Linked DNA regions of Saccharomyces cerevisiae S288C. The gene in region 1 interacts genetically with each later gene. Each region holds a gene or a part of one and is shown on either strand. Other genes may lie near its edges.

What was found. Genes that interact genetically often act in the same process or in processes that back each other up.
Region 2: mutations in BNI5 (region 1) and GIC2 impair growth when combined (synthetic growth defect), as found in Saccharomyces cerevisiae (one study listed by BioGRID).

The regions. Positions count from the first base shown.
Region 1 is NC_001146.8:321,859-325,616, forward strand, and holds BNI5 (Bni5p), read right to left. Parts: upstream 1,708-3,758; coding exon 361-1,707; downstream 1-360. Other genes in the region: YNL165W (uncharacterized protein), read left to right, coding at 1,974-3,194; IBD2 (Ibd2p), read right to left, coding at 3,407-3,758. UniProt on the Saccharomyces cerevisiae protein: Required for normal septin function and cytokinesis. Its recruitment to the bud neck by CDCd11 and SHS1 ensures efficient localization at the bud neck of MYO1, the type II myosin of the actomyosin contractile ring.
Region 2 is NC_001136.10:1,078,505-1,081,980, reverse strand, and holds GIC2 (Gic2p), read left to right. Parts: upstream 1-1,781; coding exon 1,782-2,933; downstream 2,934-3,476. Other genes in the region: SUM1 (Sum1p), read left to right, coding at 1-853. UniProt on the Saccharomyces cerevisiae protein: Required for cell size and shape control, bud site selection, bud emergence, actin cytoskeletal organization, mitotic spindle orientation/positioning, and mating projection formation in response to mating pheromone.

The DNA.
Region 1 (3,758 bases):
GGTTTATGAAAGTTCTTAGAGAAAAGAAGACACAACGCCATTGAAATTGAATTCTGGGTACTGTTATTGTTCCGTTTCATGTTATTACAATATAATTGACTATCTGAACATTTTGTCTTCATTTTTTTTTTTTTTTATTATCGTTTTGTTTACGTTTAGGCGAAATACTCACCTCTTTACTATTAAAATAATAGAATTTATCAGAAAAAAAGTCAGCAACATCAAAAATAACAGATGGATGGCTCTAGGATAAAGGATTCTTATTCTCTTACGATTGTCTATGTTCTTTTGGTATTTATTTTAACTTTATATATCTGTCTTAATTTATAAATATTTATAACAACCCTTGGCGTAATGTAATCATTTAGTTCCAATCCAAAATTGGCCATTTTCGCCACGATCAATTTGCTTTCTCAGATGTCTACTTAATAACACTCCGACCTCATATTTCTCCTTCGTTTTCTTGTCAAGATATTCTTGAAGCTTCACTACGGCTCTATGTAGTCTCTTTCCGTCTTCCATAGATAAAGAACCCTGTGCATTCATCTTGTTTAGATAGTCAATTTCCTTTTGTAACTTAATGCATTTCATGGATAAATAATCATGTCTTTTTTCCAGCTTGGCAATACTGCCCAGCTCAGACGCTGATGTGATAGGAGAGGAGACTGGCGAATCATACTTATTTAGTGAAGATTTACGACTTCCGTTTCTTGAATTGGAATTGCTGCTCACCGAGATAACTCTGAACGGATTTGTAGGGCGTCGTGTCTCGAAATTCGCCATTTTTTTCTGTCCATCACCATCTGAATTAAAGTGATTTATATTGGTACCATCTTCTTTAGAATTCTTTTTAGGGATAAAAATTTTAGTTTGAGAATCTAAGGGAGTGCTTCCTCCAGAGCGATTGGGACAATTCTCTGAATTATCGTCATGGGGTGTTTGATCAGCTAAACGGCTGCTCTCATGGTTGTATTCATTGTCACCTCCTACAACTATGGTTTGCGGTTGTATATCTAGATCCTTATTAGCGGAAGAAAATTTGTCTAATACAAGTTCAGCGTCTAACTTGTTCTCACCGCCCAAGGTGTTATTCTGGGGCATGGGTGATTTGAAAGATTCAATCTCACTGTTTTCCTCTGTTCCCTTATCTACTCGCCCCTCTTCAACATCCGATTTTTCATCCTCCCATTCATCATCATTATTTTCGATAATTTCAACATCAGCTTCACCCCTGTTTTGATCTATATTGACTGTACCATCTTCTTTGTTCTCAGTGCAGGAGTCCTTTGCCTTTTCATTTCCAGCGGAATTTGCGACAAATGAATTATAGGAGTCACCAATAGCAATGGCGGTGTGAGTTATCTGCTCTTTCGCTATAAAAGGTTGAGTAACCGATAGCTGGGATGGGTCATCCGTACTCTTATTCGCTTCATTCTCAGTGGGAATATGGACCTGTGCGGTTTTGTGCTCTTCAACCTGAGCTGAATCTCCTGGGTTACTATCCGCTCCATCATTGCCACTAAAAAGAGCCGTTTCTGCCACCTTTACAGCGTCGACCACACCCGTATCCTTGACATTATCTTCGACAGCTTCGTCCTCCGCAGGTTCAACTAATTGTAAATTTTCGTCAATCATCTGGTTCATCTGGTTGATATCTATCTCTATTTGAGAAAGCCTCTTCTTTATCTTGTCCTGGTCCAAGCCCATCGTTTCTGTTGTTCTATTTCACACTAACATAGCATCACCATAACAGTAAATCAAATTACAAAACTATTAATGATTTTTGTTTATTATGAAGTTTGAATTTTCAGCGCAATATTTATTTCATAACGCGTCTAAAATGGTCTGGGTTCTGGGCATCTCTAAAGCCCTTCACTACTAGTGAAGAAGAAGAACAAGTAAGGCTTTTGGAAAAGAAAGAGCATCAAATTGAACGATAGGAGAAGTGCTACATACATTTGCCAAAGATCCGCATGGATAGAGTACGCTCTTTGATTGGAAATCGCCGGGGACGCCGACATAATCGCCAACATCCTCCGTATCCTCACAGTGGGTCTCCATCCACCGTCAATCTCTTGGGAGCTAATGGTTATGGAGACGACCAATCTACAATATTTGCACGAGAAAATGAATCTCTGGAAACCTCTGCCAACGAGGGCGATGATAGTGCGGATGCAGCTACTTTGAATACAGCGGTATCAGAAGGCTCAACAATTGGAGACCTACAAAGACAGGGTTATGTTAACAGAGCCCCAAGATTCACGTCAGAAAGAGCCATGCCATTCGTTTCGGTGCTACTACAACGAGGGTTTTTTGCATTCCCCAGTGAAGAATCTCTCCAGCTATTTTTACACAACAAGAGGAAGCTCGATAACATTGATCCAAAGAGGGGTCTAGGACTTCCCCTATTTCACGCCATTTCTTTAAACCTGGTCAAGTCGCTTTTCAGTGATCAAAATACACCGGTAATGAGGATATATAAATACGTTATGATAGACTCCCAATGCGATAAACCTCCATTAAACTCAGAAGTGGTCTCTCGAATAAACGAAAATGTCTCCATATATAAATATGAATTCTGCACTATTCTAAAAAAAATGGAAAGCCATAATTTTTCGAGCAGGGTAGAGCACGATTTTATATTTCATAGAAAAGATGAACCTGATGTTCATATCCCCATGATTAATTACAATCAAAGGAAAAATGCGGATACGGCAATTCATGGATTAAATCTTCGTTGGTACGGGACAACTAGTTTAGCTTCACCTTTTGGCTCAAATAGCATCAACCTACTTGTACTCGATGATACGATGGCATCCTACATGAACCAACAAACTATTGAAGAGTTTGATTCTTACAGCCGTTCCCGTCCCACAAGACCGCTGGGTTATCTCCCAGTATGGGCCAGATACACAGATGATAAAGTTAGTGTCATACCGAAAAAAAGAACTTTGAGAGTAGCTACCTTGTACTTACAAGAAACTGATTCGTTTGATGATGGCTCTAGTTTAACATCTACCAATTATACTGAAATGGGCTCTAATATCATTGAAAATGTGCCGTGGGATAGTCAGATACTTACTTGCATGTGCATGCTATTACATGAATATGAATCAAGAAAGGAGAAACGCCACACCGCATGGGGCAGCTCGACCACATATATGCTAAATGGACCGGCAGGATTACTGATGTAAACCCATTTGCATTTACTTGTGTTTTTTCCTGTTACTATTTAGTCATAATACCGCTAAGAAGCATATAAATATTCAAAGAGAAATATTGTCGTACACCATTAATTTTTCAATAACTCTTAAATACGTTTAGAATGTCACAAGTTTTCCTCACAAGTTTTCCTCTATTATGTAATGTTCCCTATACTACTTTATTCCTACAGTAATAATGTTGACTATCTATTCCTTTTCCTACTATCTTGTTCATCTCTTGGTGGATTCGGCATACGATTGTAACCAAACGTACGATTATACCACTTTATCATGTTACGTGGTGGTTCACCAAACACCATGTAGTACTCGCAAAATAAACACATGGGACTTGATTCGTTAACTAGGACAGAGAAATCTGGAACACGGTTTTCCGTTCTGGAAATATATTCAAAATCATGATAATAGTAGTTTCGTAGTTTGGATAAGTTTTCATAATGATGATGCGGGCAACAACTTTTATGGTCTCTAGATTCGTCATAAAAGTCATGTCGCCTTACATGCCCATTCTTTTTCGAGTTCTTTGACCTGCTGTGC
Region 2 (3,476 bases), on another chromosome or scaffold:
ATCCAAAGGTACTTCATCTATCCATAACGATACTGAGTCTGCTAACGATAGTAGCAATGGCAACGGAAACCTCGGTTTGGGTACAGAGTCACGCAATACATTGTTAACGGCAACTCCCATTGAATTAATCTGCCGGGAAGGCTTCTTCTACCGGAGAGATATTCCGGACGTTCCCATTACCACAGGAGCGTACCTGGAATTTAAATTCAAGGCGAAAGAAGAGGAATTGATCAACTCTAGCATCAATGAGGAGGATTATGCTGCTAAATCAAAGCATGAAAAAATGAATGCGCATTTCTTCAAGCCTGATATTCAAGAAGAGACGGAACTTGCCTTTGAAATTTTGAGCAAGACAACGCTGACAGAGAAATACGTTAACAGTTTGGAGTACTTCTTGATGGAATTCAGGTGGGAGAATAAACTAGTTGGTCTAGGCTTAAAACTTCGGGAATCCAAAAGAACCTGGCAAAGGAGAAAGGCGTTATTTGCCCTTTTCGAATTTTGGAGAGACCAATCAAGAGACAAAAGAAGATTCCACAACTACACCATCCTGCATGCGGTGAAAGAGATGGAAAACTACAGAATATTTATTAATCGATCCGTTTCATGGTTCTACAACCATATTACCCTGCTAAAAATGATCCTCTACGACCTCTGCGACAATGTGACCACTCAATGGAGAGAGTGGATGTTTCCCCATAACGAAACACTGCCGGCATTGGGTCAGGACGGCATTAACGAAGACAATCTGAATGAAACCATCGACAACATGTTAATTTTTGACTTCCTTGATGACGGTTCAGAAAACAACCAGGTCAAATATTCCAGAATCATACCGCCAGATATCCGTTAAGCTGGTCCGTACGTTGGGGCAGTTTCGAGAATAGATAAAAAAATGAAAAATAAAAAAAAATAAAAAAAACACAAAATAATGGACCGTTACTATGCCCAACCAAGTAACCTCCCAACTTATTTGGAACATTACATATTTAGCGCTTAACATTACATACATATTTAGCGCTTAACATTACATACACCTTTATCGACGAATTTGTAACTATTTCTTACTCTTGCGCTGAGGAACGCCCCAGTCGTACAAAAGCACCTCTGCATACTAAGAAACTTAAACTATCGCCATTGTCTCAAAATAGCAAAAAACGCAAAAAGCATACCGCTGGGCGCTTATCTATATTAACCTACACGAGAAAAGAAACATGATTGACTGCGTCAGATTCAAAAACCTGCAAAGTTTGTTTTTATAATTTTGGCGTTCAGCAAGCGCGCGGCTCCGCTCCATTAATATTCCAGAAAAAGAAATTCCTTCTTTGGGTGTTGTGTATTGCTACTTTGGGCAGGCGCGACCGGGCCAAAAGAATGCGGCACCCGGCAAAGACGCGTTCTGGCCCCTGAAGACTTAAGCACTGGAATGGCTCCGAGGATTGGTCACCCAGAAACAGGTGCAGACCAACCATTTCGAGATCTAGATGTTGCCTATTTCTCGAGGAAACGCTGCCGTTATCGCCATGTTTGGTGGAACAATTGTGAAACGTGATCAATTCGTGTTTGCAAGCTAGTGATCATTCGCATCCGAAAAAGAAACTGAAAATGTAAAACTCCAGTAAAACGAGACCTGTTGATGGATTGTTTCGTGTCTGGTATATATTATTGCTACTGCTCAAGAGAGCTTCTTTTTTTATGCTATCGAACTCGATCTTTCGCTCCGAAACACCTAACACTAACAAAAGGAATACCTGACAGAATACGCTATCAAAAGAACGAATATGACTAGTGCAAGTATTACCAATACTGGAAACGAAACCATGAACCTTCCACAGATGCGGTCGATTTGGCTGGATGAAGATGAAGAAGCTGAAAAACTCTACGGTCTGCAGGCCCAGCAATTCATGGGATCTGATGATGAAGAAAACCTAGGCATTACTTTCATCAACAGCGATAAACCTGTGCTGAGTAACAAGAAAAACATTGAGTTGCCTCCACTTTCACCAAATTCACATCCGTCTTGCCACCACAGGAGAAGTAATTCTAACTCTGCAAAGTCTAAAGAATCATCGTCATCATCGTCCAGCGCCAACAAGACAAATCACAAAAAGGTTTTCCTTAAGCTTAATTTGTTGAAGAAAAAGTTGCTTGGTGCCCAACCGGACATAAGAGGTAAAGGTATCTCCACACCATTTGATTTTCAACATATTTCACATGCTGACACTAGAAATGGATTCCAAGATGAGCAATTGCAGGAACCTTCATCGCTGTCCACAGAGATTAAGGACGACTATACCTCCTCCTCAAGCAAGCGGGATTCGAAATCACTAAATAAAGCTTTTGTCACTGAAAGGATCCCTGCTAATCGTGAAAGCAAACTCATTTCAAGATCGCACGAAAATAAGACATCAAGACTATCAGTCGCGCGTTCGATCTCAGTAACGTCCTCCAATTACTCTAAAAACACACAAGGAAACAATCATTCCATTAATGGGAGAGTCGTATCTACGTCAACTATGGCTACATCTATTTTTGAGTATTCCCCAAACGCATCTCCAAAACAATTTAAAAATAAGTCACACGCTCTGGGTCATAGATACACTAATTCCACGGATTCTAGTGAGTCTTCGCTGGATTTTTTGAAGAACTACAACTTCCCCACACTACTTGAAGATAAGCCTATTTTAGACTTCTTGCCTCGTTCTCAGAGGTCAAGCGCTTATCGTAGCCTTTTAGAGACCCCAAACTCAAATAAGGACTCAGCAAAAGCCTTCTTTCCTTCACGCCAAAGCCCTCTTCCCAAGAGAAGAAACTCTATAGCTACGCCTTCTCCACAATCTAAATTTTCCTACTCTGACTCCCCTGTAAACCATAGAAAATCTTTCGATGATGTTCTTTATTCTTTCAACCAGCTCGAGCCCCTGCAAACTTAAGCTAAGGACAGAAAATGAAAAAAAAAAAAAAAAAAAATTCAAAGAATCAGCTTATAAAACATATTCAAGGACCATCTGAAGTATCATTCATTCGTTTTTTACTCGTTAATCTCATTCATTCGTTTCCTCATTCTTTTTTCTTTGTTCTTTATTTCGGCTATTTTTTCACTATTAAAATAACTAGAGCTAACAATATTATTTCTTCTGCTTTAGTTACAAAACAAGGACATTCATTTAACTTGGCGTTATCCCATACATTCGTTTATTATATCTTCTTTTAAAACACAATTTCTTTTACAGTTAAACTTTTCTGATTTATTATATATTACTTAAGATTGTTCATATAACTAACATTTATATGCTTATATGCGTGAAGTGCGCTTTTGTAGAACATGTGGCTGTTTCTGTAGAAGCCTTGTCTTTCTCTGTAATCCTTTAAAGGCCAACCGTACGTGCTTAATTACAAGCTTTGTTCGCATTGCAAGAAAGTTAGAAAAAAAATCAATTCTGAAAGATAATTATAATTCAAACGGTAAACCATTG